Lepisosteus oculatus: one gene and its partner. The protein of the gene in region 1 interacts with the protein of each later gene in a biochemical or structural test. Links are inferred from orthologs where the notes say so. Each region holds a gene or a part of one and is shown on either strand. Other genes may lie near its edges. The genes, in order: nuclear transcription factor Y subunit alpha and zinc fingers and homeoboxes protein 1.

The links.
Region 2: the proteins of nuclear transcription factor Y subunit alpha (region 1) and zinc fingers and homeoboxes protein 1 form a complex in vitro, tested with the Homo sapiens proteins (2 studies listed by BioGRID). The link is inferred for Lepisosteus oculatus from reciprocal best matches to the Homo sapiens genes NFYA and ZHX1.

The regions. Positions count from the first base shown.
Region 1 is NC_090700.1:39,807,037-39,823,165, reverse strand, and holds the start of nuclear transcription factor Y subunit alpha, read left to right. Parts: upstream 1-7,458; 5' UTR 7,459-7,582; exon of another isoform or gene 7,583-7,632; intron 7,633-8,204; exon of another isoform or gene 8,205-9,269; intron 9,270-10,379; 5' UTR 10,380-10,425; coding exon 10,426-10,506; intron 10,507-11,580; coding exon 11,581-11,661; intron 11,662-14,039; coding exon 14,040-14,186; intron 14,187-14,934; coding exon 14,935-15,066; intron 15,067-15,829; coding exon 15,830-15,935; intron 15,936-16,129. Other genes in the region: ngrn (neugrin), read right to left, coding at 2,358-2,928, 4,085-4,195, 5,442-5,704. UniProt on the Homo sapiens protein: Component of the sequence-specific heterotrimeric transcription factor (NF-Y) which specifically recognizes a 5'-CCAAT-3' box motif found in the promoters of its target genes.
Region 2 is NC_090705.1:10,704,605-10,720,914, forward strand, and holds the start of zinc fingers and homeoboxes protein 1, read left to right. Parts: upstream 1-8,394; 5' UTR 8,395-9,449; intron 9,450-9,558; exon of another isoform or gene 9,559-9,685; intron 9,686-9,698; exon of another isoform or gene 9,699-11,607; intron 11,608-11,956; 5' UTR 11,957-12,090; coding exon 12,091-14,811; 3' UTR 14,812-14,834; intron 14,835-15,959; 3' UTR 15,960-16,310. Other genes in the region: ATPase family AAA domain-containing protein 2, read left to right, coding at 58-217, 613-735, 2,271-2,423, 3,703-4,074, 4,872-5,005, 6,430-6,558, 6,942-6,974. UniProt on the Homo sapiens protein: Acts as a transcriptional repressor. Increases DNMT3B-mediated repressive transcriptional activity when DNMT3B is tethered to DNA. May link molecule between DNMT3B and other co-repressor proteins.

The DNA of each region.
Region 1 (16,129 bases):
CAGTCCAGCAGCATTGTGTTCAACCTGCCCAAATGATGAGCTTCAATGGGTAAATAAATCTGGGGGTGGGGGACAAAAACCAGTAATGGGCAGCCCTAGGCTACTACAAAAGAAATACCAAGTACCCAGAATCTTGGGGGTGGAAGAACAGGGAAGATCATGATCGCCTTGCAGGAAGCGAGGTGGAAGGTTCCGCACCAAGCTCCTCATCAATATGGCTGCAAAGCTGGCATCTTTGTCCCTTGCTTACTTCCGCTTACTTAGTTCCTAGAACTTGCACAGGCGTGCAGATCTGGTTCAGTCCGACACACAGCGGCTTTCAGCAAGCCTCACATGCTGCTTCTCACACCCTCCAGAGCAGTGATCTAAGTAATGCGTTCCACATTTCAGATGTAGAGGACATACGCTTTGGGAGTTTTCAGAGAAGGGGGAATTATTAATAAATAATTTTGTTTCCTGGAGTCTGGTGAGAGTAAAGATAATTCATTTTTGAATAATTATACCAGAGCTGCACAGCTCCTGTGCTGACATGGGGTGGGGCCTGTAGGTGTTTGTACAAACTCTTCAGTGATCTCAATGATTTCCTGTTAATGTTAACTTGAACTGATCCAATAGTAGTTCACCTGTTGATTTTTGTAGAGACTTGGAAAACCTGCTGGATTCCTTCCCTCAAGTACTGGAGTTGTTCATTTTTGCATTTTTACCATATTAGCTTATCAACAGGCTTTATACCCCTCTTCCTCATTCATGGCTGACGGAGGGTGGATGAGAATGGAATCTCAAGATGTTGGGGTTGGGTTTCTGATAAAAGTGCCAGCTATGGAAAAGCTGTAATGAAGACAGAGGAAACTGTTTTCCATTCTTTCTCTGTAATTGTATGTAGATAGGGTTAAATGTGGTCGCTACATAAAATGACTGTTCTACCTTTGGACTGGCTGTTTATTTCTGTATATTTGGGGAAAAAAAATCTGAAAATGTTTGGTTTACAAAAAACATTACTGGTACTTTTCTTTGCAAAGCAGGTTTTTTCTTTTCAAATTGACAATAAAAACAAAATGATAATGCCTCTGCTTTTTATTGGGGGAAAAAAAACATTCCAAAACACAGGCTCATTTGTAGCTATTTTAATGCGGTACAGTGGCTCTGCGGCTGGAAGGTTGCCGGTTCGTATCGGCGTATCTTACTTCCAGCAGAGCAATCCTACTCCGTTGGGCCCCTGAGCAAGGCCCTTAACCCCCACTGCTGCAGGGGTGCCGTATAAAGGCCTGACCCTGCCCTCTGACCCCAAGCTTCTCTCCCTGTCTATGTGTCTGAGGAGCTAGTTGGGGTATGTGAAAAAAGACATTCCTAATTACAAGAAATTGTATATGGCCAATAAAATGATCTTATCTTAATGCATGGATGTCACTCAATCATCTATACTTTCCCATTGTTAGACTTATCAGTCTCCAGTGAAGGCATTCCAACTCGGTGCTCAGCTAGTCAGGCTTTGGAGAACAACCATCTGGCAGGCCTGTGCCAGTCCTGGCTCTGAAAGGTCGGTTTTATTAGACCTCCTTTAATACAGCAGCACCTGAAGAGCTGGGAGAAGCAGTAAAAGTGGCCACAAAGGGACAAAAACAAAACCAGCATCTGAATTCCTCTGCATTACAGGGAAATTAACCCTCTCGTCGCCTACAGCCCTGAATCAGTAGAAAATTTAGAGCAGGGGAAGACAGCCCATCCCTCCTGTTAGGTTTTTTTCATCTGGCTCATTAACTACAGAGGAGATCTTCAAGACTTGGGTCAATTGAGCTCAATTTAGTGACCGACGTTGGGAAAAGCTCACAGGCTGGTAACCGCAAACACAGAAACATGTCAAGGTTTCCTTGCCCTTGATTCAGAGCAGCCAGGGAAAGCAGGGGCTGCTGGTTACCCACAGTCTGGCAGTTACACAGACACGGGGCTCGAATTCATCAGTGGGAAGCATTTCACTAATGAGGGAAACAAGTATGAGCTAAACTTTAAAGGCAAAGTTTGAAATATCTAACTAAATCGGGCAGGTATCGTCATATAATGATAACTCGGTGAGGGAGGAATTTGCTCAAAACTGACATTTTGGACTGCAATCCTACAGTGTAGTGTGCTGCTAAAAATAACCATCACCCACCCCCCCTCTCCCCACACGAGCCCCGCCATCTAGATGTATTTCTTCCTGTCCTGGAGGTACATCACTCCACCGAGGTGCTTTCTTATGCTGTGGATGTGGGAGGCAAACCACACTCAGCAGCCCACAGATGAGCTGGGTACTTCTTCAGGCTGTGTTTAGCAGGACAGTGGCAGTCTCATCTTCTGCCCCAAAGCGGAGAACAGAGCACTCATATTCTGTACAGGAAGTTACCTTCACCATCGTAGAACTCGCTCCCAACTTGAACCACCTCCAGCGGTTTAGGGGAAGGGTTTGCTAAGAGCTTTTCCAGCTCCTCGTCATCCAGGACCCTCACACCCTCCTCCTCTCCTGGGGTGATGTCCTGGCTGCTCTCGGAAATCTTGCCCAGACGTGGGGGGTCCTGAGTGGCCGGGACGCCCAGCCGGGCTGTGCCATGAGGAGCCAGAGTTCCTCTGGGAGAGGCCAAGAGGACCGCTGTTGCTTCCTGTCCTAAAGCCAAACTTGAGCCGCCTCTCTCGGCCTGCACCTCTCCCACCCCTGGGGTCAACATGGCTGCCGCCGTGGCTGGCACCTGGGCCAGCCTTGCATCTTGCTTGACGCTGCCCAGGAGAGACTGGCATCCCGTTCTGGCAAAGACCCTGCCATCTTGCTTCTGCTGCCTCTCTGGCGGAGGAATGAACTTACTCCTCAGTACCCTATGGATGACATCGGAGCTGACGCCAAACCCCTCAGCCAGCCGGCCCACTGTCCACTCCTCAGGAGTGTCACGGTTCAGGTACCTGCGAGGAAACAGGGAGTGAAACAGACCTGCTGCCAAATCTGTAGAGGGCTAGGATTCCAGGTGAGACAAGACAAGCTGCTGCTAAGCTCAGACACCAGTGGCTGTGATCATGGTGGAGAAGGCCACAGAAATTGCATTTCACAAATATATTTACATATGGACATGGGTGAAAAACTAGGAAGTTATTCAGCCCATCCTTCACGCAGTCATTAGTAGCTATATGATCTGAGGATATCATTCAGCCATTTCCAGAAAGACAGAGCACTTTCAACTTCAAAGACATGGCAGAGCTGGCTTGTTTGAGGCATTGACTCGTGTCCTTTTAAGACTAAATAATCACAGTCTTCAGTTTGTTTTAACAGCTAAAAAAGTACTGTGAGTTCATTACCTTAGAAACTGAAGCTCTACCGCATTCAGTAAATGTCAATCTACCTACTGCCCTCCATGGCTTGTTTTTCAAGTCTAATAACGAGTCACGCTCGTTAGGCTACGGCAGACATGCAGGGAGTCTGCAGTGACAATTAGAACCTTAACGAGCCACTGTCACTTTAGACTTTTTCCAACACATCATGCTGCTATCTGCTGGATCTTAATTATCCAAAACAAAATCTTATTTCATATTTGAGTATATATTTTCTGCAATACATTTTATTGTACATGATTATACAGGCATTTCTATTGTTGTCCTGAATGTATATCTATTGTTTGTGTCTGAAAATACATCAAAGTTATACAATGCATTAGAAGGTTGACATGTCTGAAGGAGGCAGAATTGCAGTTTCTAAGGTATCTTGTTTTAGGTGTCAGCACAAAATGAAGATCTTGATTATTTTCTCTTAAAAGGACACATGCTGCCGTTGTGCAACAATGCACCCATTTTAAATTTAAAACTCATTTTTATGTAGGAATTAATATTTAATTTAAATGTATTTTGGATGTTACACAAATGCCGTAAATCTTGGGGATCCATGTCTCGGATCAGCCTAGACGGTGGAAAATCCAGCGGATCGGATCGTTAGTTACGGCAGTGTTTTCCTCCTGCCTTCCCTTCCTGCTGAGAAACGTGGCAGGGGGCTGCGGCAGACGCCTGCAGGGATCTGGCTGCCAGCAGTCTGCTGAGGGTCCTGTGCACATGCTCACTGGCGCCCCCTCACCTGATCTGCTCCATGGCGTCCCAGGTCAGCCTCCTCTCTGGGGGGCCAGGTGGGGAGAACTGCTTCGCCAGCCTGCGGAGCTTCGTTGCCTTCCGTTTCCTCCGTTCGGCACTGCAGGAGACAGGAGTCCCTCCAAGTTTTACGGATGAATGTTGGAGACTGTGGAGCAGTACTGGGAACATACAGACAGAGGCCAGGACTCCACAGAGCAGCAGCCTGTTTAATCGCCAGCAGCCGTATCACCCTGCAACCCACAACTGGCAGCCCAGTGAGGCTCAGCAGGTGGGAGCCTGGCCAGTACCTGCATGGGAGACCTCCTGGGAAAAACTAAGGTTGCTGCTGGTAGAGGTGTTAGTGGGACCAGCAGGGGGCTCCTCACCCTATTGCCCCAGTAGTGTGATGGGGACACTATACTGTAAAAAGGACACCGTCCTTTGGATGAGAGGTCCTGATTCTCTGTGGTTGTGTTTCGCAAAAAGAGTGAGTGTTACCCGGGCATCCTGGGAAATCTTGGTAAAGATTTCCCAATTGCCTTTACCAATCTTGGCCTCCTAATAATCCCCATCTATGAACTAGCTTCATCACTCTGTTCTCCTCCCCACTGATAGCTGGTGTGTGGTAAGCATTATGGCGCACTATGGCTGCTGTCACATCATCCAGGTGGGAATGCACATTGGTGATGGTGGAGGGGATCCCCATTACCTGTAAAGCGCTTTGAGTGGAGTATCCAGAAAAGTGCTGTATAAGTTTAATGAATTATTATTATGAATTGTCTTTGTCATCACTGACAATGCTCTCAGGGACACAGAGAAACTCAGTCATTGCTGCTGCAGGCAGCCAGGAAGATGCCTCTTAAAGGACAAGTAGGGAAACTTTCCTTCCTTCATTTAGACATACGATCAACCAGATATGATGAATTGCAACATCAGAACATCCATCCATTTTCTGCCTGCTTCACCCAATCAAGTATCACAGGGAGGCCGGAGCCTGTCCAAGGCAGGGTACACCCTGGACAGGATGCCACTACATTGCAGGGCATGCACAAACACACACACTCACACCAGAGCCAATCTTCCCAGAAGCCACTTCGCCTTCCAGTATGTCTCGGGACTGTGGGAGGAAACCAGGGCCCCCAGAGGAAACCCACAATAACATGGGGAGAACGTACGAACACTATGCAAATAGCACCCCAGGAGCTGAACCAGGGCCCCAGCGCTGCAAGACAACACTGCTCACCTCTGTGCAAGGCCGTGCAGAATGACTAACAGAATTACAACAGGTAAGGTTGCTAACGAGAGGAGGCTGCCTGGTCCGTGGCGCACGGGTGCGAAGGGGAAACAAGAGTGTGCCCTCTCACCTGACCACTTCTCCCGCCAGCTCCTCCAGGTCCTCTGGGCCATCCTCCAGGAACAGATCCAGCTCCCTTCTCCTCCGGTCAGGATTTGGGACCAGTTCCGCCCCCGACACCCTGCCGGCCCAAGACCGCTCCTGCCGGCTGGACTGCCCGAGACCAGGGGCCGGTTCTGGAAACCCGAAGGCTGGTGGGGCCCGTTTCAGCAGGACAGAGGCCCGGCCAGGCCTGCTGAGCCCCGTCAGGGAGGACACGGCCCTGAGAAACATCACGCCGCTGGACAGCTCCTGAAGTTACCAGCTTTATCGGAGAAGATGGTGCGACATTTCCCTTTAATTAAAACCAGCTGAAATTTTCCATTAAAATGTTTTTACACAGGAATTAGGATTTTTATTATTATTTTAGTTTTGAATGTTCATTATTTGTTATGGTTATAAAACTTTTTTCACCGTGGTGTTTTCAGCAGCCTCTTTAGTAAAACGCTGGATTACGATGTTTTACAAAGAACTTTTGTTCTTACAAAGGTCCCTTTTCAGGCCATTAAGGCCCATGGGCCTTACTCATAGACTCATTTGGAAAGCAATCTGAGTGGACCTGGGAGCCGTCTGGAAGACAGAAATAATGTTCCCTAAAAGTAACGATCTACAAACTAGTTAACGTGCCAACGGCAACCAAATCCTGATTGCAAGGCAGCGCTGATCTCGCAAACATTTGTGTCATTGTAATATACTCTCTCTCCTCTTCGTTCATTTTAAGTTTAAACATGGAAATCGTGGTGTCCTCTGAGTAACTGGGTTGACCAAAATGTCATTTCTTCTGAAAGGGAGTTGATTACAGACACATCTTCATCAACAACAGTACCTGCTAGGATATCAGGGAGATCATAGGGTTTTCACAATTTTTCACTGACCAAAAACACAAACCTTAAATGTCTATTTTTACACCAATGCTAAAGAAGCTTTAAGTCGGGAAGCAAAACTTCATTTCGACAGCACCGCAGCAATAATACTCCGATATGTGTGTACTGACATTACAGGGCGAAAGCAGCTGTAACTAAAGCATAACTCTATTTTGCGTTATAAAGGGCCTATACCAGGTTTTTATAAATACATACCGTCTACGCAGTTGTTTAACATAAGAAAAGACGCCAAACGCACGTTTTCATCAGGAACGACGGTTGATTAACCCAGCCTTCACGGATAAATCGACCATTTACACTGTGCGATGTGCGACTGCCTTTCCTAGGCTTTGTGACGGGGAGGTGGGAGGAGCAAATTCAACATGGCGGACACCTCCAAACTGCCGCATCCATTTTGAGCACAGTACAGGCAATGACCCTTAATAGACCCACTTCACAAATGGAAAACCCCTAAGCAATCTAGAGGCTTTTTATCTGAAGAAGATATGGAGTGATCCAAAGAAGAATGGTTATAACTTGATTACGTTTTTTTAAAAAAAATACTTTCCAAACGTACATCCACAAACTGGAGGTACTGATTATATTGTTTTACACTATATTCAGTATTCTTATTTTTTAAATGAAAAGCGTCTAATAAGAGGGATATCTGGTGGTTTTTGTGTTCATATTTCTTGCAAGGAAACTGAACAAAACTGTATTAACTTCATCCCTAACATGCACACACAACAAACATGAAACATCCAGATGGACTTCAAAACAAATAAGTGAGATAACGTTTTTCAATTGGATTGAGCTAAAAACTGATATGAACTGCATAGGTTGTGGCTAAAAAAATCAAATTCGAAGGTTTATTGATGTCACGGCCTATTTTAGGAGTACAGTGAGAGGTTCAGGTGTTTGGACTATAAATTAATACCGATATCCTAAAGCTTCAGTCTGTACTTGTATAAAATATTCATACCAGCCTCCTCCCCCACGAGCCTGTTACAGCGCAGGTGCCTCGCTCGGCTCGCCGGCGGTAATGCGCCTGCCCAGCGGCCATGCCCTGCTCAGCGGCTGACAGTGCGCCTGCGCAGCTTCCGGGCAGGGGGGCGGGGAGACGAAGTTGTCCTATTTGTCGGTGCAGACCGCGCTGCGCCATTTTGTTCGCTCGCCGTAAGCTCGGTGATTGGGTTTCGGGGATCGGTACTGGAGCCAATCAGAGGGGAACCGGGGCGGCGGAGAAACGGTGAGAGAGAGCGCGGCTTGGAGGGGCTGGGAGCCGGCAGCAGGGGATTGGTGTGTCACTGACCAACCAAATTACTAACACCACAAAAATACAGGAATTAAAAATACCATAAAGACACCTAGCCGGAGACGCGCACAAATTGGCTTGAGATGGCGGATGGGGGGCGAAGGGCCCGTCCTGAAAAGGCTGCTGAAGCGGACCGTCAGCGGGACCCGTCTTTATTTCTCGGGGTCTGGCGTGTGGGGGGAAGAAAAGGCCCGGTTTTCTCCGGGCTGGGGCAGCCGGTTCCCACCACTGCCCGCCCCGCCGTGTGCGGCAGGGTTGCTGGGCTCCAGGCGACCTTCGCACGGTGTACTGCGCAAAGGCGCCTCTTAGAAGAAATAAAACACTTAAAATCTACCCACAGAGGACCGTGTTTCTAACTCCAGTAGGGGATGCAGTCGGCTAAAACTACGCATCTGTAAAAAGGAGAGGGTGTAGTGGGGACACAGAGTCGCCTTTGTCCTTACAGTGTGGGATAAAGCGCTCAGATCTGGGTTTTTATTAAGCAGAAAAGCCCAACGCGGACATAACAAGTAACCGTTGATGAAGGTGGAGATGAACCGCTGAACTAGCGGTACAATTATTGCTTCTTCGCTCGTTGATAAATGCTTTAGTTGACGATCTTATTCTCTTTAAAGAGAGGGGGTAACCCCTCGCCCCAGTTCAGAGACGGACCTTACGGATGATGTTTCCCAGTTCGGTAATGGGTTGGGATTGTAGGTTATATAACTGAATAAATATGAGATTTGTACCCATACGCGTAACAAACAGGGGGTTTTGAGTAATTGCTGCGCAGATACGACACAACACGATGTTTCTGGGTATTTTTTAAAGTCTTTAAAATAGTTCGTCAAAATTAAAATATCAGCCATCTTGGAAACCTATTAAGTCCCGGTTTTATGGACGTTTTCTGTTTTTGTTTTAAGTAATATGACGAGTCTTTGCAGGGTTCTGTGCTCTGCCAGCCCCGTCACAAGACGCCCTAAAACAACGGGTTGTAGCTGGACCTGCTCTATAAAATAAAGTTAAAGCCTTTAGGGCTCTTAATAGACGCTTAAATCCGTTTGGAACAGTTGTTTTCCAAAACATTATGGGAGACAAGTGAAAAAACGGTCCTGAACCGATACGAATTGAGACTCCACGCGTATTTGGTAGTGTAGCATTAGCAAAGCACTTAGAATCAGCTTTAAACAGCATTTGTGAATTTGTGAGCGTTTAAAAAATGTTTATATTATATTACATGGATTACAACCCCCGACTCGGGTCAGTTGGAAGCAGTAGCTCGACTGCACTCTGACGGGGGAAAATGGCGTCTACACCTCGAGCGCCTTTTCGTGTTAATCTAAGATTAAAATGTGATCTAAATATGACTTGAAAACAAAAGTTTGAGTGGGTTTGCCGAGGTTATCCTCCTTATAGTCGCTGGAGAGCAGATGCTTTCTTTGCATTTGCGTGCTCTTGTGTAACGATTGTGATTCAGCCTGCTACGAGGGCTTTGCACAACGCAGATTACCTGGGTGCACTCAGTTGGGGGTACCTAATGCACCCAGCGCATGTCGTTATTCAGTCAACAGAACGGTGGACTCGCTTTAGGATGAACACGTGGCCTTCTCATAACAGAGGCACGATGCGGAGAATGTGCCAGGTCTTGTATAGCGCCGCCCGGGGGCTTTCTGCCTGGGAGAGAGAGAAACGGGGGTTCGTCACAAACCCAGCTACCCCAGTCACACGGGTGTCCAGCTAAACTCCGCTCTCCATAATGCACAGTTGTCATTCTCTATTAGCACCTTTACACTGCTGTGTGTGTGCAAAGGAACAAGTAAAGGTTTATTCCAAGAAAAGAGGCAACGTTTCTGAAGAAGACTCCACACCCCACACGTTGTATATCTTTTCAGCATGGAACAAACCTTTACTTGTTCCTTTGTAGCCTACGCATGCTGACACAGCTACCTACTTGAACATCTTCGCATATATATCATGTGTGTGTGACAAGAATGGGCAGCCCTGGTCCTGGTCTCCCAGTAAGTGGCGAGCCACAATCCAGCAGTCTTTATGGGTGACCCTTAAGACATCAATTTTAAAGCAGTTATGTTTTGAAAACTGAAGCAGGTGAAAATCCCAGCACTCTGGAAAAATAGCTTTACCGTTCTTCACCAGACCTCCTGTGTGGGGCTGCTGGTGCAGAATTGCTTCCATTCTGAGTGAGTGGAGTGAATCCTCTCCTATATGTATGCATACATATTTACCATAAAGTGCTTTGTGAGCCTTTGATATGCAAGACACTATAAAATGGAAGGAAATATGGAATTATTGTTTAAAAATTATTGCTGTTTTTCTAACATTTATCTGGAGCCAGTTACATTTGTACCCGTTTATACAGGTCATAATATATAACCTTTCAGTAACGAGACCAGAACTGTCGCTGCTGCTGCGAAACGTCTGCCCCTATGCCCTGCCCACAGCTCAGCATGTAATATGTTTTTATGTAAAAAGAACGGGCTAGTAATTTGTGTACTTTTGTCCACTTCTGTTAATGTTTTATGTTTCTACCAATTTCAAAAAGACCTATAAATTAACACAAAACCAACATCAGAAGGCATTAACAACATTGTACAGTTTTTACATAACCGGCTAACTGCTAGTTCCAAATTAGTTACCCATATGCCATTATTTCCCGGGAGGAGGCTGCTTTGTGAAAAAGTGGTTTCTGGTTTTCTGTGCATGACCTGGTGTTTCTTTGTGTTTCCCATGTCAGAATCGGATTGTTTTAAAGAGACCTGAAGGTGGACGGGGGCTTGGCAATGGAGCAGTACACCACCACCAGCAGTAGCAGTGGGGAGCAGATCGTGGTTCAGGCCGCTCCAGGGCAGATCCAGCAACAGGTATGGCAACTCTTGATTGGGAAAGGTACAATCACGCTGACCTGGATCTGACAGACTGCGGCTTCAGCTTGTGGTGGAATCGGAGATAAATAAGAGCCCTCAGTCCTATTTTGGTTTGAAGGTTTCTGGATACCAATTGGATTTCATCCCAGCTCAGATCTTAATGACCTAAAAAAGCTCACTATTGGCCTAGTTGGACCAATTCATCAACACCTCTCAGGTTTTTATAGTCCTAGAAAACCTGCAGACACACTGGCCCTCCAGCACTCAGAAGTACCCCAGGTGCTGTTCTAGCCATGGGTTTTCAGGTCAAGTAAAATTGTTTTTGAATGTAGAAAAATGTTGCTCTTAAACATGTTCTTAATTTATCTAAACAAAATTATGTTTTAAAGGTTGTGAATTATGTTTTTACTATATCCCTAACTTTTTTTCTGTCAGATGATCTATTTCTCAGATAATTTATTCCCTTACCCTTTTCTCATTTTTGTCTTTTAAGTCTGTTCAAAAGCCCAGCCATCTTTCTCTTTTTAAACAGGCTAAAAATGTTTGTCTCTTAAGAATTTCAGGCACATTGGGGCTCTGTTGGCTCTTAACAAAAAAACGTTAATCAAACTCTTCTTGTATGTGTCACAGTTCATCTGTTTGGACCTTCTAGCGTGTGGGGCCTAGCTGAGAATACACTTCATCTCCTGTTTTTTTTTTCAGCAGAAAGGAAGGTGCAGGATAAACCATTTCACAAACTTTATAGAGCCCTGTTGTAAAAAATGGTGCAGGCTCAAGCCCTTCTTTGTCCGGTAGTTTAATCTTGTGCATCATGTATGACCTGATCCTTAAGGATGTGCTGAAAGCTGCTGATCATATCTTGGATGGATGCAGAGGTATCTTAGGGATAAATTGGACATCCCTGCTATATTAGGAAGCTCCGTTTTTATTGTTTTTATATACAGTCTGGCAGAGCCCCAGACTGTAGGATCCTTTATTTTGGTGTGCCAGTTCCTGGCCATGTGGGCGTGGACAGCGCCAGGAGGCAGCTGCGGGACACAGTGTGGTAATGTGCATTGTTTCCGGTCGCAGGGCACGGTGACCGCTGTCCAGCTGCAGACAGAAGCACAGGTGGCTTCGGCTTCGGCCCAGCCTGTGCAGACGCTCCAGGTAGTGGTGTGAAATCCAGCTGCGTCGTCGTCCGCCGTGCTGCATGACAACCCTGCCCGATGCTTCTTGCCTCTCGGGACTCTCTTAGCCATGTTCCTCTTCAAATCTGAGCCACGAGCTCTAAACTAGTTTCTACTTCCTGCAGACACTCTAGGAGGTTTGCTTTAAACAGAATCAGAAAGTCCAAACCCATACTTTCGCGTTCTTGCCAGTGGTATTTATTCTCAGTCAGGTTCAGGCAGTTTTCTTTTTTAATTGACTTACTAATACTTTGCATTGCAGAAGTGCTTTTCATCCTAGAGCATTTTAAGGGTAAAAGGGGCTTACATCATGCTTCAGTTAAGTGCAGGACCATTAAGATGAGTTCATAGGCCGTTTTAAGCATTTTACTTAACATTTATAAAGCTTTAGCGCCACTGGTTAAATCAAAGACCTGGACTGTTTAGATTATAAGACATCAAGAGAAGCAAAACAGCCAAGGAATGCCCAGCATGCTGTTGAATTATTGCACACTGCAGGACATACATACCACTCAGCGGACCTCAGGTTCCATAGAAATGGGAGGCAGGGCTGCACTCGTTTTATCTTGGCAGCTTCTGCACAACTTGGCTTGACTGTGCAGTGACCCCAACTGAGCCGCATCATTGGAGATCTGTCATCGCTCATTGAATGTTTTGCATTGTGACCTTTGGGCCATAAAAAAGCGTGCACCTGCATCATGACATTTGCCTGAGGAATCATGCAGTGACCTGTGTCAAAGAAGTATCCTGAAGAGCTTTGCTGTGCTAAATATTGAATATAAGCTTAACTAGATACCAACTTTGGCATAGAATCCCTGGCATCTCACAGCAGAGATCCTTGATTGACAGATAGAAATTGAATGTCTTTATTCTGTTGACACTCTTTGTATCCGGTGTTTAAGAAAGCTTAACAGACTCGCAGTTGGCAGTGAGAATATGCTAGGGCCACTGTTTATCAATTGTGGTCCAGGATTTACTGCAGGTTTTCTTAGGAGCCTTGAAAGTTCAGTCAGCGGAGGACTGGAAAATTAACATGAGCACCTGGCTTGCCCAGTTGAGGTCTTTAGAGTTCAGTTTGAGAAAATTGTAAGAGGACCCTTAGAATCTCCAAGACCAGGGCTTCAGACTCTGATCAAGACAAAGGAAGAAATAGGTAGGATAAAACGGTGCTGCATACCTAATAGATGGTTGGAGGATGTAGATGGAAGATCAGTAGTTTAGGAACACCTCATATTCAGCTAGGCATGCAAAAAATAAATGCTGCCTAGCAACTCCTATACACAGTATTAAATGTAGAGCACGCTGCATTATAGTGGGATAGAGGAGTGCAAGTCTTGAGAGTAGAATCCCAGGATATAGAACCCAGTGTCCTTCATCCAGTAGGGGAGTAATTGGGAGTTATATGTCTTCAGATTATTTAGCAAACTGCATTATTTGGAGGCAGCATGCTAGTGTCGCTGGACATTGCTGCCTTATATCTCCCACAGTTCTGATTTGAGCCCCAGGCACTTCTCTGGGTGGAGTTCGCTTGTTCTTGCCACGTTTGCATGGGATTTTTCCAGATGCGCCCCTGTGCCAAGATGTGCTAGATAAGTTGATGGAGTGTTATGAATTGCCCATCCATCCATGGACAAAGTGTTGCTAGGATAGGATTTGACAACTGATAACATGTGCGTGGATATATGTATATTTGGAGTAATAAAGGATAAAAAGGTAAAACACAACTTCGTTCATAGAACTAGTTGCACCGCTAACATGTGTGCTTGTACCAGTGGTCCCTCTTAACCTTGAATGTTTGACGACCTGTCATTCTTTTAAAAAAAAATGTCCACAGTTTGATCAGATGCGATGTTTTATAACGAAATAAGAAAAATTATCATGACTTGGTGAGGAACAGGATATACAGATATTATTTTAAAAAAGGTATATTTACAGGAGGTCCCATCCTGCATGTTCTGTATAAAAGGGACAACAGATGTGCATGGTTGTCCTGCTGTGTAAATATGTCAGGAAGATGTCAAAGCTGTGCTCCTGCCTGCTAGCAGCGCTCACTGTGCATAAGTGTATAATTGTTTTTTTCATCATTCTCATCTCAAGCTGTCTTTGCTGAGTCCATTGTGGACATTGCTCAGTAACTGTGCTGTCTGTGGCCTGAGGAGTAGATGAAGTCTACTTTTTTTTTGCTGTATCATGAATGCTGCATCATGCCACCTGATCAGTGCCACCCCACATCCCCTACACAGCGGTTCGTCAGTTTTAAATGCATGTGGCTCCACTGTTGTGCAGCGTGCACTGTATAACGCTCTGTGTCCCTCCAGCTGATTCTTCAATGTGGTTGCGTCTCTTCCCTCTTCCCCGCAGGTTCAGGGTCAGCCGCTGATGGTGCAGGTGAGTGGCGGCCAGCTCATCACTTCTTCTGGCCAGCCAATCATGGTTCAGGCAGTCCCTGGAAGTCAGGGCCAGACCATCATGCAGGTGCCTGTCTCTGGAGCACAGGGTCTGCAGCAGGTGAGCAGTCTCTGTTTTAAACAGCACTTGTTCTCCTAATACAATTTTCTGGGAATAAGACTTAAGCCGCACATCAGTTTGATCTGTTTCTGGAATTGCAGATCACCAGTGCTGTGCTTTGGGGTTGAATATATAGATTTATATTTAAAAAAATCAATGAGAGCATTAAAAACCTAATGTGTTTTGTGTTTTGTTAATAGCCAGAGTACTCCACATTAGTGCTGTTCACCACTGGAATGTTTTATTTTTTCATTTAACATGAAGCAGGCATATATACAAGCAAGTTGTTCTCATGGCACTGAATTCCAAATCCCTTAAAGTTTGGAGATTCCCCCCTCTTACCCATTGGGTTAAATCAGTTCCAAACAAGCAGAAAACATTGAAGCGCACAACTGTTAAAACAGTTGCACATAAAAATGCCTCTGCAAGTCTCAATAATTGTACATCACAAAACAGGAAACACATTTCAACCCAGCAGAGTTTCTCTGTGGCAGCAAGAATGGTTTTTCCTTTCATTGAAAACATTGTTTTTATTATATTGAATCTAAAAATTACCTAAAAGGGTTTGGAAGACTTAGGAATCGCTTAATGAATAGACTGCAGACCCAGCTTGTGAGTGTGCTCATTTTGTTCTTGACTGTTGCCATCCTGCTGGAGAGCAGCCCTGGTTTTGCACGCCATCTTCAGCACCCAGCTTTGCAGTGAGGAGAAGGCGACCCTTGTATCCCCTTTGTCTGCGTGTGTTCAGATTCAGCTGGTGCAGCCGGGGCAGATTCAGATCCAGGGCGGACAGGCGGTCCAGGTGCAGGGGCAGCAGGGTCAGGCCCAGCAGATCATCATCCAGCAGCCGCAGACTGCCGTCACCGCAGGGCAGAGCCAGGTCAGGCACCGCCACAGCCACTGAGCTGCCTGTAGACATCCTGGTGCTTTATAATGAAGTCACGGCACTGCGAAAATGGATCATTCCAATGTCTCCATTGGGTCTAAGAGGAGCAAAGTGAATCTCTAGTGACACCGTCTTAATTCTCCTGTTGTCATGATATAAGAAGTCATCTATCAAGTGAAAATCATTTGTGTTTACATGTGATAAAGCTTAAATGATGCAAAGCTGAAATGCAGTTCTTTCCCACACAATCAGTGCACTTTAGCAGCTGTGCTTCAGTATTAGTTCTCTCTCCTGCACAGAAAACAATCTGGTTAATTGTTTTTATCTCTCCCAGGCCAGGGCTTTGTCAGTTTGGAATACATCCTCAGTCAACTCAAACCATAAAGACAAAAAACTAACTTCTGTAGGAATGAAAAATGTTTGTGTCAGTGAAATTAAAACTGGCATGATTTATAATGGGGTCTGATAAAGCTGCTATTGCTTGTAATGGAATTAAAACAGTTTTGTCTCTTTTATGGGGGGAAAAAAAACATCTCGAACTTTATTCCCCTGCTAGCACCTTATTTGACCTTGTAATTAGCACAGCTGCTTCCCAGTTTGGTGAGAGAATTTAGGGGAAACACAAGCAAATATCTGTAGCTGCACTTGTGACCCAGTCTCACTCAATAAAACCTAGAATTACCTAGAGGGAATTAAATATTTGACATCTTCAGAGACCATCATGGGGTATGAGTTCATTCCTGCCTTGTACTTTCAGGGGCAGCAGCAGATTACAGTGCAGGGCCAACAGGTGGCTCAGACTGCAGAAGGCCAGACGATTGTATACCAGCCGGTCAATGCTGATGGCACCATCCTTCAACAAGGTACAGTACTCAGCACACTGCTGCCCATAGAGCTTGAGCTGCACTCCTTTATAATACAAACTCAGAAGTATAGGTGAGGCAAGACATGTAAACGCTTTAACGTAAAAGGTTGCTGAAAAATTACTTCAAGAGATCTCAAGTCATTAAAAGCTATAAAGCACATTAAATTACCAGTTGTTCTTGCAGCGGTGTTT
Region 2 (16,310 bases), on another chromosome or scaffold:
GGAGACTGAACGAGGCAACCGTTTGTACTTGAATTTTGATGTATTTGTCTTGTTTAGGTTCCTGATTATAAAACGGTCATCAGGCAGCCCATGGACTTGTCCACTGTGCTTTGCAAGATAGACTTGCATAAGTATGTCACTGTCAAGGATTACATGGAAGATGTAGACCTGATCTGGAAAAATGCATTAGAATACAATCCAGACAAGGATCCTGCAGGTAACAGTCTCCTTTGTACGTGTGTGATCATTTTAACATGGAGAACAATTAAAGACGCTGATGGATGCACTTAAGTGTGATACAGTTAACATATGAATGCAGAATTAGTGTTCTCTTTATAAGGTTTTATTGTACCATACATTTAAGGGGGAAATGTATCAAACTCTGCTGGGCTAATATAATCTAATATCCCAACCATTTGTTTTTTTTTATTTCCTTAGTCATTTATTCTATTAAACTAATAGTTGTTATAAAAAATAATTTGGGATTTAGCTTTCAATTTAAAGGGAATAGTAAACATTTTCGTTTTATAGCTATATTAAAAATATGGAAACTTATTTTTTAACGGACTTTTAAGATGGCTTTTTGTGTACTCTTCCTGGTCTGTGTTGCAGATCGATTAATACGCCACAGAGCCTGTGCTCTGAAGGACACAGTCCATGCAATCATTAGAGAAGAACTTGATGAGAATTTCGAGAAGCTATGTGAAGATATTCAGGAGTCCCGGAAAAAAAGAGGTGAAGTATTTATTTGTTTAGTAAGTTCTACGCACTGCTGATTTTTTTTTTTAATGGATACTCTTTCTACGATCAGCACCTTATTTACATAATTGTACAGAATTACTGATTATAAAACTAGAAGCATCTTTGCACCCTAAGATGTGCAGAAATGTACTGTAAGTTTGTAAGTTAACATTCTTTTTGTGATATTTATCCAAATCTGATAAAAGGGTCCCTATTTCTGTTTACTTGCCCATTGTGGCAGGAGGGATTAAGAAATGAAAGAGAAATCTCTCCCTAATTTTCTGTTTTCCTTCACTTATTTTTTCCCACTGAATTCTGAATCTCTAGAATTAGGTGTCTTTTGAAGCTGTCATAGGAAATTCTGTCATGTTGGTACATGTCTGCCAGGTCAAGGGCATATATTCTGCTGGTAAAAGAAATTACATGTCAGAGAAGTAAAACAAAATCTGCAAGCTTATTTTTCATGCACTCTTAGCTATTTTAAGTTGAGGTCTTTATTGTTCGGCTGCAACCCTGTGGTTTATAATATTTGTTACAAATGGGAAATGAGTATAATTCTATACAAATATTATTAGAGTCTGGATACCTTTGTTTTTTGTTGCACAAAAGACTGTGGTACCATACCGGATTATAATTTCATCATGGAACTGAAAAACATGGAGGCGATCTGACTACTAGCACCAAAAACCTGTAACCTGTGAAGAAAGTAAATTACCTGTTTATACCGAGTAACATCTATGCGTATTCCCAGACATTGTTTAACATATTAAACATTCTTTAAACAAACACCAAGCACACCTGATAACACTAAAGCATGTGACATTGTATAGTTGGTCACCATACATGATATTGTAAAAAGCTAGGGGGTGCAAATATGTTGAATAAATGAGGTAAAACATAAGGTTAACAGTTGCTGCCCACCTTCCAAGCAGCAACTGATAGGCATGTTTTCTTTGTTCTCTGGAACAGTGAGGTAAAGTGTATTGATAATAAGTAATGCGTGAGTAATACTCAAGGCAGCACTAATTTATAAGATTAATATTTAATTTACAATTATTAATAATTATTTTTGGTCAGCATACCACAAAAATCATAATATAGCTTTCGAAGGAGTTCAGAAAACAACAAGAAATAATTTCCTGCTCTCAGCGATTGTCCTTTACAGATTTGTTAAAGGTGTTACATATTTGAAGTTGAAGATGAGATGAGATTAGATCAAGATATACAGTATCCTAAAGGGTGTGGATGGGGTCAATATGGTCAAACTTGACAGTGAAACAGTTGCACAGCTCCACAAATGGAAGTTAAAAGGGAGTCTGTTTAAGAAACACTTCTACTGTATACGCAAAGAGTTGTTGGTATCAGGAACGTGCTTTCCAGCCAAGTGGTATAATCATGAGGCTGCTGTTCGAAATGTTTATTCACTTTATGTACTAAGTTACCAAATGAGAAAGATGGTCTGATTGCCCTCTATTCATGTTTCTTAAGTAGTAAAATGTTTTGTAACTAGTTTTTTTTTATTTTTAAAGGCTTTTCAACTTCACAGTTTGCTCCATCCTATTACCACGTGCTTCCAAAGCAGACTAATTCTACTGATTCCAAGAAAAATGAGTCTAACGTAGCTAAGGACTCTGTCCAAACATCTGCAGCACCTGTAACCACAAGTACTCCACGCCCTCAAGGTGAGAATTTACGGTCACAATTTTTAATTTTAAGTGTTATTTAAGGTACATTTTTGTACCAAGGTAAGACTTAAATGCTTCAGTAAAACCTGCATGGAGGATGAAGACTTATTAAAGAAAGGAGATAACTCATTAAAAGAAAGATAAATGTAATAGTCAAGAAATGTCTGTTTCTAGAAGACCTCATCATTAGTAGCGCATTTACCTTGGTATGCTGCTCTAAAAATCAGTAAGTAAAAATCAGATGGATTTTAACCACTGAGAACTTAAGCATAAGTGGGAAAGAGAACAATAATATTTAGCAGATCATGAATGATTTACAGCTCACATGACATTCAGTGGTGTTTTACCGCTGTGGAAATGGTGAGCATAGGACCAGTGAAAAGGGCAAGTCATATACCAAGACAGTACGCAGGGATGTTGCTGAGAATGAGGACAAGCCATATATCAGGACAGCATGCAGGGAGTTCACTAAAGTGAGAACAGGATAAGGACAAGCTGCAGGGAGTTCATTATCAGTGAGAACAGGATAAGAACAAGCCATATACCAGGACAGCATGCAGGGAGTTCACTACGAGTGAGAAACAGGATAAGAACAAGCCATATACCAGGACAGCACGCAGGGAGTTCACTACAAGTGAGAACAGGATAAGAACAAGCCATATACCAGGACAGCACGCAGGGAGTTCACAACGAGTGAGAACAGGATAAGAACAAGCCATATCCCAGGACAGCATGCAGGGAGTTCACTACGAGTGAGAACAGGATAAGAATAAGCCATATCCCAGGACAGCATGCAGGGAGTTCACTACGAGTGAGAAACAGGATAAGAACAAGCCATATCCCAGGACAGCATGCAGGGAGTTCACTACGAGTGAGAACAGGATAAGAATAAGCCATATCCCAGGACAGCATGCAGGGAGTTCACTACGAGTGAGAACAGGATAAGAACAAGCCATATCCCAGGACAGCACGCAGGGAGTTCACTATGAGTGAGAACAGGATAAGAACAAGCTGCCGGGAGTTCACTACTAGTGAGAACAGGATAAGAACAAGCCATATACCCGGACAGCATGCAGAGAGTTCTCTATGAGGACTATTTTCAGTATTAAAAGTTGTATCTGAGATTATCACACAATATCTCAATTTAGAAATGACATTAGCTTTCAGGAGGTTACTGTAGGTATTGGTAATATTAGTGATGCATCAGACACCATATGTGCAACCTTACAAGTCTATGAAATTATTTCCCACACATCAAAAATCGATGTGCCAGTAGCAGTTCTGAAAAGAAAGCGCAGGAGATGCCGGTGGAGTAATGGCTTTATTGCCAAGAAAAAGACTTCATCTGCAACCTCCAAAGAGGGCGTGAATGGACTCGGGTTAGAAGGAGAGGAGAAGGCGGAAGAAGTAGCCGAGAGCGAAGATTGTGATGAACTTGACGCGTTACTTAGCAACGGGTCCAGTCTGGAGCCGATTGAGCTGGAGCGCTGTGAGGACTCCGCAGGGGAGGGTGATCTTGAAGCTCCTGAGAACATAAAAGCGAAGCACCCAATAACTGATGAACCTGCACAACTTGAACACCAGGCAGAGAAACTGCCTTCCACCCCTGCAGAGTCTGATGGAACAGACAATCAGGAAGAACCCAGAGGTGTGTAGAGCTGATGGCTACATTCACTGCCCTGAACTTGGTTTCAGTTTAATCAGTGCTTTTCTTTTTTAGGTTTTGGAACATACTTCACTTCATATTGACAGCTATAGAATAACGTTCGGTTGTGTAGTTGTGTCATCATGCGTGCTGCAGAGAAACACAGAGGTTAAGTCCATGTTGGAAAATAAAATGCAAAATAACATTTTGGTTGCAGATCCTTATTGGGTAGTACACACTTGAAGAACACTCTGCATTTGAAACAGTCCTTTTTGCTTCTTATTTTTTTGGAGAGGAATTAACCTGTACTTGTTCCTAATAATCTACATGTGCATCTGCCTCTTTGCTGTGTGTTTGTCTTGATTGACTGGACTATGTGTTGCATTAAACCACAGCAGTATGTTTGGTTTCTGCCCCAAGTGAAAGCTGTAGCACCATTGCATGTTAGGGGTGGAGATGGAGAAAGGTATACAGTAGTGAGGCTTAAAAGAATGGTGGTGTGGCACAAGCTTCATAGTTGTCATTCATGTAAACACTTTTTCACCTCTGTCTACATAGGGGGAAAAGGACATTTAAACAGTCTAGAGTTTAAGAGATTTCATAACCATTTTTAAAAATATGTCTTGGAGAATATGCAGGGATAGAGGTGTATTAAGTGATTTTGAAAAAACCTGTTAATGTTTTTTTTTAATCAGAAGACAGTGCAGGTCTTCAAGGAAACAACCAAGGAGTCGTTTCTATGTGCGTACTGTCTGCTAATAACGTGTAGTGACTGTCATCCTGTCCGCCTGTGCCTGCAGAGAAGAATGCCCTGCGCATGACGCGAGGCCGGCGCTCTCAGGTCGAGCAGCAGCAGCTGATCAACGTGGAGAAAGCCATGAAGATCCTCTCAGAAGTGACCCCACAGCTAGTCGTTGATCACCAGAAGCTGAAGGTATCCTCTCGGCTGATCAGCAAAATTTTCTCTCTATGTCCCTAGTTAACATTTTTCTGTGCAATGTAAAATCACAATTTTACATTGTGCACAAAGGATTACAGTGTTTCAATCTGGGGGGGGGGAGGGGAGGTTTACAATGACAACAATTTGGTGTTGTTTAAAAACAGCCAGCTGTAAAACCAGTATTTTGCCATTTTCAGAACACTTCCAATAACAGGCATTAGTACTTCAGAATTAAGAAGAGTGTGAAATATTTTATTTTGGTTTGGTGTCTTCAACTTTAGGTGAAAAAGATCATTCAAATGTTATAATAATATAATTAAGCTTGCATAGAACTTAAAATATTGTTACAGGGGGGGGGTTATGAAAATGGTGAAAATCAGTATTTGACTGAGTGGTTTAGTCAACAATTGAAATAATTATTCATAACTCTCGACTTGTAAGAGATTTCTAGCAATTACCCGAGTGGCTGGTATAACTAGAGGCACGTGAATTATTTATTCTCTGGCACAGCTTTGCTGAGAGGAGTAATAATCCAGGCACACTTGGTTAAAATAAATATTTATTACAATAAACTATACAAGACACAAAACATACAACACACAAAGTTACATTATATACAGTATTTACAAACGAGGCATTTCAGAGGCCTAACTTTCTGCTCACCCATAAATCCCCAGATTGCCACTAAGCACTAAACTCTTAATATGCCTACACACAAGTGATGAGCTGCCTTCTAACTAAATACAAAGTAACCTGCAGTTAAATCTCCCTGCACCCTGGATGCCACAAAATAAATGGGAGCCTATATCCCTATCCATAAAAATGCACCCTAATGAAAGACGTTTCTAACTGAGGTATCTTTTACCCAGGAAACCCAAGTTCCATAAAAACACAGAAAAGCACGTTCTCTCTAACAAGGTTCAAATACTTAGCTCCAGTAAGGTTTGATTTGGATGATCAGGAAGTAGGTGCTCTCGCCTTTAGCAAAACTTTAGCATTGTTTCTGCTCAACGGATCCCCAGACCTCAGCAAACATCCTCTCTCCTTTGAAGTTAGAAGTATTTAATTTATTCTTCCCAGTGTCATAAACTGTTTCTGAAATCTAAGAGACACTTCTAAGTCACCTAAAGCTGTAACAATATGTTCTAAATATAATGATAATGAAATGAGCACTAACTTAACCCCTTATTAACCAGATTCCAAAATAACTTGCTTACAGAACAATACAGGTCTTGAATCTAAAATATATCAATTATAAAAACAGAACAGCCCTTTCTGCACAACTCTAAAATTCTTTGTCTTGAACAACAAAAGGCTGCACTGAAGGAAAGGTCAAGAGGAGATGATTGCTTTCACTAACTTGATTTGTTTCTCTGAAACGGATGTGAGTGAAATAACGAGGCTCTTTTTTTTAATAGAATTTACTGGACCGGGTGATTGCCAAGACTGAGGGATTTGAGGTGTATCAGCTGGAGAAGCTTTATGCTCTGCTCTGTCAGTGCATTTATAGACATCGGAGAAATTACGACAAGACTGCACTAATACAGGTACAATAAGGGTTTTATACCCGAAGGTTTTAAGCGTCTTGTTTAATGGTAGAAAAGACCGAGACTATCTAATGGACAAGATAATGGATCCTGTTGAAAGATGTTGACTAAATTCAAGAAATGTACATTGCTTCTGAATTCAGCAGTTCCAAAAACAACTTGAAATTTCTCCCTTGTCTGTGTCTTCTTAGAAACATCACAAGCCAAATATGCCGTTGCTTATATACATTATCAAGTAATATGTGCAAAAGGAAGATTTGTTTGACGTAAACTTTAATTACTTACATTGTGAGTCAAAGCTTAAGTGTGATGTGGGAAATATGGCAGATTTGTTCTTGGTTTCTGAATGAAGAATAAATTGTCCTTTTCTTCTTTTTTTACAGGAAATGAAAAAAGAAATTGAGAACTTCACTTAACTTTTCTGACTTTTTTTCCAAAATAAATGAAGCAGGTGTCAAAAAGGCATTGCAGTTTCTTATTAAATATTGTACAGAGCTTAAGACTATAAACTATAAAGTGTTTATTTTACTAGAATTTTAAGTACATTTAGAGATTTCTGGGTGAAGTGTTATTTGGCTTAAAGTTCATTAAATGCTTTAGCAATCCAGTTCTTGTAGTTGTTTTTCTTGTAACGTCTGATGCCCACTGAGCAGTACTAAACCTCTTTGTGTTCCACTAAAGACCCCTTTTTTAAGCTGAAGCAAGTGATGCAACAGAGTATCAGCTTCTTTGTTGTCATTGTGGAAATAAATACTGCCCTATAGTATAGTTGGTTTATAGGCCTTGGTCTATATAGCAAGGCCTACATTTTTAGTGGCCTGGTTACTGTAATACTGTAATATACTAGGCTGTACTTGAGTTTTCTCAGACCTTTGTTCGTGGTTATTGTACTCTGATATTTTTGTGACATTTAGTAGTTTGCAACAGCGCAAAAAACAGAATGTCAGTCGGCAGTGTACAAAGCTGTAGAAATTTTTTTTTTTAGGGTGCTGGGTAGAAACATCACAAGCCAGATTGCAGAGGTGCTTTGTATATGAATGAATGTAACCCCACCTAATCTTCACGAAGCAGTCCTGCTGAGTAATGAATAAATTGTAGCTGCAGGGCTTCAGACCTTCACTGCAGACTCCAGGGCTCATCACTTGTCGGGGAAAGTCATGCCTTGCTCAGGGGCAATTCCGTAACCGAAGGACTGCCATTAATAAAACAATGTATCCTACAGCCACTGGGTTCCCAGTGTCTGCAGAGCCTTAATCACACTTGAAGCGATTTTTAACTACACCACAAACTATAGAACCCATCATTCTACGTCATGGTTATTTTGTCCTTTGGTTTTGCTTTAAGACGTCGCTCCTGACTAGGCTGTCCTTGCGGTCACAGCCCTGCAGGGGGCTCACGGTGTCGCTATGAAATCATTCCATGCCCTTTCTGTCCCTCTTCACGGGGTGGTGTGATATTGTACATTTAGGTCTTCGTTTCTATCCACCTGGGATGACTTTCATATGACAAGGGTTTTTTTTTTGTCTTCCAAGTTTCCTTTACACGTTACACTTGATATGTTTTGTCATTTTAGGTCATCTGTAATATACACCTTAGAGTCCTGCATAGGGTACAGTGGGTATCTAAGCAGGATCTTTGCATAGTATTTTTTTTTCTCAGTGTGGTATGTAAGCTTTACCAGACAGTGTAGAATTTATGATATTAGAACTATTATTTGCCATTATCTGGAAGACTGGCTATCCGCCTTTTAGCGTAATGAAACGTAAAGCTTCTAACAGACGGCAGATGCCGCCCTTTCTGCCGGTATCTACAGGCGCTCCTACGTAGGTGTGAGGTGAGGGTGTAGGGCGGCCGGGCTGCGTCACCCTCTTTCCTACCCGAAATCGTGAAGCCCCGCCCTGGGTGACCCGAGAGATATGTCTATCACGGGCTGCGCCGATAGAGAATATATCAATAGGACAACAATAACGTTATACTAAGTGAAGCAAAAAAAGTTCAAGGGATTATCAACAATAAAAAAATCAATTGCAACATCATTCTAGCCAGACGTCTGTGTGCATAGATCTAGATAAAAGATCAAACTCAAGGCGTTGTGTGACTCGGGTCAATGAGTAACTCCTGTTTAGGAATGGGGTGATGGGTGTTTTGCTGGACACGTTCGCTGGAAATTTGCACCTCTTAAGAGGATTATGTCCTAAGCGAGATAGCTGCAGCATGTGGTCGCAGGAGCATAATTCTTGCACAGCAAAGTAAAGAAACCCCGCTTTCAAGAGACTCGGCAAAATAAACATTACAATTGCTGCCTGGACTTGCATGTGTTGTGTCGTTGATAAACTTCAATCTCCCGCTGGTCTTCATACACCCGTTTACCTGCCGGGCTGCCACAAGGTGAGGGGCGTTTCCAGCCTTTGGGGGCCGGGCAGTCTCTAAGGTGTCGTCCACTCACAAAGGACACTGGGAGAGGCCACGCCCACGTCCCCGCCCCCCCGCCTGAGCAGCGCGACTCGCTGCAGGAAATCGGGTAGGCAAAAAAAACGAAGTCGGGGTAAGTCGCTTTGCGATGACGCGGAACGTATTTCATCGATGGTGACGCCCGGGTGATTAAAAAAAATACCCTTCTGAATTGACACATACTGTAACGGTCTTTATCAAATATCATGCCGATCGCCGTGGTTTCACTGACGTGTCTGTTCTGATCGACGCCTGAAAGGACGCGAAGCGCCGCTGAAAGCGCCGGAGAGCGCTGCGCAGCTGGAAAAGCGCCCTGTAACTGTATTTTTGTTGTGCATCTCTGGCCGCATCAAGCGGCAGCACTTCATCTCGCCTGCCTCCGCTGTTCCAGCCCAGCAACAACTGCACTAGTGTACCAGCGCACGTAACTCTTCATACTGGTAGGTATCCAAGTCATGTACGGGTGTTGCATACGTCGGCCTTGCGGGCGGTGAATCACTGTTGTCACACACACGTCCCAGTTGGTACAGGATGGTTTTTTGGGGGTGGGTGAGGAAGGAGGGGAGCCCTTTCACCAGCCAGTACAGTGTGCTGGAGACGGAAGAGAACAGACAGTGGCCATGGATCACGGGCTTTCTTCAGTGGTCTTTATATGCATCATAAGAAGTTAAAGAGCGTAATTCTGTTTCTAGATAAATATGAATCGCCGTTGCATCTAAGCGTATTGCTTACATGTGGAGATTTACATAGACCATATTAGTTTATTCTGCATTGGCTTAGTCAACCTACCGTCGCCTCTTGTATCGCTTGTGAACAGTTTTGACGGTGGACGTATTGCCTTGCTTTATATCTATGTTTTTGTTTTTTTGTAATGTAAAGGCGACATCCCTTCTGGCATGAAGTATTCCGAACTTTGAACTTACGTCCTATATATAAAGATCAAGCGAATAATTGGGCTGGCTTCGTACATTTCCCTAAAAACACACACCTAGGGTGTACATACTTAAACGTATGAGTACCTGGTTATTTAGTGTAAAAATGTAATGGAGATGCAAGAAAACAGGAATGCTTTTGTGCATTTTTTGCTTAAAACGCTGGAAGTATAGCTTCTAGCGTAATAGTTTCGAAAGCTTAGTATTACACAGACTTATTCCGTTAATATCGCTTGAGACGTTCATTTATATTGAAAGTATGTGCGAGGCAGCCTGAGCTAACCCCATTTCCTTTTCTTATTCTTTTTTATGTGTTACAGTAAGAGTAATCGTGCATGCCAGTGATGTGCGCCTGCGCGGTTTTGTCTTTCGCGAATACCTTTGTTTATTACGATGAGTGCCCTGTGATTTTCCGTCCTTGTAGTCTCTTACGAAACAGTAAGGTGTATTATTATATAGCCCGACGTAAACTCGACGGGTTGTGCTGTTGTAATTGCTTGATCCGGAACGCATCTCACAACCTGTCGCCTTAGCTTGGCCGAGAATCCAAAATAAATGTGAAGTGTTTCTCGGTACTCAGGAAGTGGTGTTAGTGAAGGCAGTCTGGTGCTACGTAGTGTATGTGACCCAGGATATTCTTGGAGCTTATTTGAAAGGGCAACTGAGGAAAAAAAAAAAACATTCTGAGAGGACATTTTCAAAAAATAGCTTTTGTCGTATCTCCTAGATGACCGCTTGTTGAAAATCTCATGATTGCAACCTCTCTGCTAACAGCATTACAGTAATTTAATTACACTAATCAGGCACTGCAGCGTCAACAGAAGTGTTTTTCCGTTTCCTCAGTAAATCTGTTTTTACTAAGATTTAAGAAAAACATATATAACATTCCTTCCAGCAGATTCTAAGTAGTTCACATCACGTCAATAATAACAACAATAACTGATTTTATACAAGTAGCATTAACAAAGGGCTACCAAGATATAAGAGAGAGAGATCACTTTATTGGCCACATACAATTTCTTGCATCAGGAATTCGTCTTTTCACATAACCCAGCTTGCTCTCCATGAGACACAGACACACAGACAGAGAGAAGCTTGGGGTCAGAGCACAGGGTCAGCCATTGTACGGCGCCCCTGGAGCAGCTGGGTTTAAGGGCCTTGCTCAGGGGCCCATCAGAGTAGGATTCCTCTGCCAGCCATGGGATTTGAACCGGCAACCTTCCAGCCACAGGCGCAGATCCTTAGCCACAGTGCCACTGCTCCACCAAGCTATATCACACAGCAACTCACAACTGTTATCTCCCTGGTTAGTACCTGGATGGGATAAAAACTAAGTAAAAACTAAGGTGGCTGCTGGCAGAGGTGTTAGTGGGGCCAGCAGGGGGCGCTCACCCTGCAGTCTGTGTGGGTCCTAATGCCCCAGTATAGTGACGGAGACACTATACTCTTAAAAAGGCGCCGTCCTTTGGATGAGACTTTAATCCAAGGTCTTGACTCTCCGTGGTCATTAAAAATCCCAGGGTGTTTTTCAAAAAGTGTAGGGGTGATACCGCTGCGTCCTGGCCAAATTTCCCATTGGCCTTTTCCAATCATGGCCTCCTAATAATCCCCATCTATGAATTGGCTTCATCACTCTGCTCTCCTCCCCACTGAGAGCTGGTGTGTGGTGAGTATTCTGGTGCACTATGGCTGTCATCGCATCATCCAGGTGGTGCTGCACACTTGTGGAGGGGAGCCCCCATTAGCCTTAAAGTGCTTTGATTTGAGGGTCCAAAAAACCACTATATAAGTATTAGGATAATTGATTATTTATATTATGATAAATCTAAATGTTAACCTGTTTATTCACCCACTTCTACAATAAGGTTTTCGTATCAGCCTGCCTGTTGCATTCAGTTTCACAAACACAGTCATATTAAATCCAAAACAATGCAAATTCAAAAGTCCATCTGACTTTGAAAGATGCTTTTGAAGTTTCAGAATTATATGCGTTTTTTTTTCTTTTCCTGTTTCAGGGACGCAAAAATCTTGGCAATGAAATGAGGTTTGTAAATCTACAATGAGCTGCCCCTGAGAAACAAAAGAGGGCCGGGCTGACAACTCGTCATTTGATGAACGCTGCCTTTTCGGGAGGGGGGACGGTCACACAATGGCGAGCAAACGGAAGTCCACTACCCCTTGCATGGTCCTTCCCACAGAAGCAGGGGAGCAGGACCCGGATATGGAGATGATAACGGAGCTGGAAGAAGGCACCGACGCCCCAGTGGAAACACCCTCAGAAAGCGCTGCGGTCCCAGCTGAAAACGCCTCGAGCGAGGAAGACATGCAGGATGTGGACCGCTACATCGAAACCATGGATTCTAAAAAGGTGGAAGGTGGATACGAGTGCAAATACTGCAGCTTCCAGACCACGGAACTGAACATGTTCACCTTCCACGTGGATTCGGAGCACCCCAACGTAGTGTTGAACTCCTCCTACGTTTGTGTGGAGTGCAACTTTCTAACCAAGAGGTATGATGCACTTTCAGAACACAACTTGCGCTACCATCCCGGGGAGGACAATTTTACCCGCACCATGGTGAAGCGCAATAACCAGACCATCTTTGAGCAGACCGTCAACGACCTGACCTTCGACGGCAGCTTTGTGCAGCAGGAGAACGAGGAAGGGGGCGAGGACACCACGGCCACTGGGATCCCGCTCAGCAAAACCCCCATCATGAAGATGAAAAACAAGGCGGAGCCCAAAAGGATCGCCGTGCCCCACAAGGCCGCTGAGGAGAATGAAGTGAAGGATGAGAGCGAAGGTGAACAGGAGCCCAAGGAGACGGCCCCTGTCGGGACGCCGGCTCCCGTGGAGGTGGTGGCTCCGGTCCCGATGGAACCGGTAAAGCCAAGTGTGGTCGTCAGCAACAGTTCCGCGCAGCAGGATCCAAAGAAGACAATAATCAATTCTGCCACCGTTCTCCCAGCTGGGCTCGCTCAAGTCCTGTCGGCCCTCCAGGCCCAACAGAATTCCCAAACCCAGCTCCTGATACCCGTCAGCAGCATCCCAACTTACAACGGGGCCATGGATAACAATGCCCTTCTTGTGAGCACCTACAACAAGTTCCCTTACCCCTCGGTGTCGGAGATCATGGGGCTGTCAGCGCAGACAAAGTACACAGAGGAGCAGATTAAGATCTGGTTCTCTGCCCAGCGCCTCAAACACGGTGTGAGCTGGACGCCAGAGGAGGTGGAAGAAGCCAGGAGAAAGCAGTTCAATGGCACCGTGCACACCGTGCCACAGACAATCACAGTCATTCCTGCCCATCTCTCGGCGGCAGCCAACGGCCTTCAGCCCATTCTACAGACCTGCCAGATAGTTGGCCAGCCGGGCCTTGTGCTGACACAAGTTGGTGGCACCAATCCCTTACCGGTAACCACTCCCATCACATTGGCAGTAGCTGGTGTGCCCAATCAAACACATCTGCCAAAACCTGCTATGCAGACAACCCCGACTGTAGTGGAAACAAAGAGGGCCACCACCGTTCAGCCTCCTCCTCTGACCCCTCAGGAGAACTCTGCTCTGAGCGCTGATAATTTTGGAATGCGACCTAAAAAGTCTAAAGAGCAGCTTGCAGAGCTGAAGGCCAGCTACCTGAAGAATCACTTTGCCAGTGATGCAGAGATAGCCAGGCTGATGAAACTGACCAATCTCACAAAGGGCGAGATTAAGAAGTGGTTTAGTGATACGCGCTACAACCAGCGCAACTCAAAGAACAATCATGTTATTGTTTTCAATGAAAACAACAATGTCAACAACAATGCCACCATAGTGATTGATTCGAGCGATGAAACTACAGAGTCTCCTACGTCTGGCCCTGTCAAAGAGTCACGGAAACAGACCTGGAACCCATTCCCAGACTTCACACTCCAGAAGTTCAAAGAGAAGACCCCCGAACAGCTGCTGATACTGGAGGAGAGTTATCAGAAGAACTCCACACCTACAGACGAAGAACTCAGCCGACTCAGGTCTGAAACCAAGCTGACCCGTCGGGAGATTGATGCCTGGTTCACGGAAAAGAGGAAGGCGCCGGAATCGACTGATTCCAAGCCAGAACGCAAGGAGAGCGACCCTGTGAAATCAGTCGCCGTCAAGCAGGCATCACAAACTCCCCCCAGCGGCAGGAGCAGGTCGGGCAGAGAAAAGATCGGGAAAAAGACCCCGGAGCAGCTCCACGTCTTGAAAAGTGCCTTTGTGCGCACGCAGTGGCCGTCGTCGGAGGAGTATGATAAGCTCGCAGAAGAGAGCCGCCTTCCTAGGTCCTACATTGTCAACTGGTTTGGAGACACAAGATATGCCTGGAAAAACGGCAACTTGAAATGGTACTTTTATTACCAGAGTGGCAACATCAGTGCTATAAATGGAAGTGGATACAGGAAGAGAGGAAGAGGTAGAGCCCGAAATAGAGGGCGAGGTAGGCCTAGAGGGAGACCCAGGGCGGGCAAGAGGTCATCTAGCTGGGGTAGGTCACCACCAGTGATGAAGTTTAAGACTGGAAAAGAAATTCTTAAAGAGTATTACCTAAAACACAAGTTCCTCAATGAGCAGGACCTCGACGAGCTGGTGGCGAAATCCAACATGGGCTACGAGCAGGTCCGGGACTGGTTCGCCGAGGTGCACAGGCGGGAGGACACGGGTGCGGACCCGTTTGACGATGGGGTGGAGAACGAGGAGCCGGAAGAGGAGGAATCGCAAGGTGAAAGCGAGGCGGGAGCGGGGGGCCTCGAAGACGTTGCTGGCGATGAGGAAGACGACGAAACGGACGACAGCGAGACCTGGGAGCCTCCTCGAAGTGTCCGGCGCACTCTCTCTGGCTCCGAGGATTAGCGCCAATCCAGGTGAGCGTCGAGGTGAGTTGCCTGGAGGGGGAGAGCTGCCAGTTTTCCTACTGGCAAATACCTAAGGCCTGTGCGTCAGAAATGTATGAGAAACATCAGGATTCTATCAGCACCATACCCAGTTTTGAGTTTAATTATGAATTTTATTAGAATTAACATAAACAAATCATGATACGGTGCTGAGAGGTATTTGTACATCCCATCATCTGTTTAAGCTACAGCATTTGTATAATTTCAGTGGAAATTGCTGTATGAAAGATATCCTTAAGTTCATTTTTAGGTACTTTAAAGATGGATGACAAAAAACTTTGCTCCGTCTCATAAGAAACTGAAAATTCCACAAATTTAGGAGATCTAGGAGAAAGAATAATCACTCATAACACCCACTTAAGAACAAAGTTTTCTTTTTATTGAAACAGTCACATTTCAAGGCAACACATCTTTAATATCATTAGTATAGAGTTATAATGTTGTTCTTTACCTGGTGTGTTTTGAATTCCAGCAAATTGACACAGAGACTCCAGTGCACTTTGTTCAGCAAAGTCATTTGAGAAATTATTATGAAGAATAGAGAGCTATGGGGAATGCTTATATCACACTTATCTTAAAAAATTCAACAAATACATATAGAAATAATTAGGAAATATTACGCTATTATTTTGTCAGTATTTTATGCAAATATTCTCTAATATCCAAATGCATTGAACGTGCTGTACTTGTAATTGACTAAGATATTATTTAGACTGCTGTGTAAAACAAAAAAAGATGCAGTTTGTGACATTTAAACCAATTCTATAGCTGTAACAATAAAACATTTAACTCCAAAATAAGTATTTTTTAATTCATAATTTAATTTCCTGTTAATTCACTAGCTTTTTTTAAGTGTTATTTGTTTTTAAATGACTGTTATTATGAAAACAATCATTCAGAATAATTGCAAATGTACTTGCAAAAAGACTACATACATGTTTTAATCCCCTAGCGATTAAAATCTATTTTATTGAAAGACAGAATCCACTCAAAATTATTTATAGTACTGGGACATAAAATATTGTACGCAAGTACACTTCTCCTTAAAGTAAATTATTTTTCTGAAATGAACTTATTCTGATCACGTTTTTCATTTTATTTTTACAGAATTGCCCTTTTATTTATACTGAAGAAAGCAATGGAAGCTGATAATTTGTATGTGGAATAGGCTGAGCAAAGCTCAGAGCAGAGTTCGAGGGTGACGTGAAGGTAGCACATCAGTGTCCTCTTCGTATCCACTGGAGGGTCTATGGTGCCAAAGTTACACGCGCAGGCATTCCTGTCTTGTTTACAGAGTGTTTAATTAGTGAATCTGTCCAAAATGGAGCTTAATTACATCTGTACCCTTGGTACCCAATGGTATTGGGTATTAAAAGTCTCTGTGCACATACTTCATTGGGTACAGTGACCACTATTTTATCTTTTGTCTTAGATTAAAACTATGGTGGTGAAGTATGA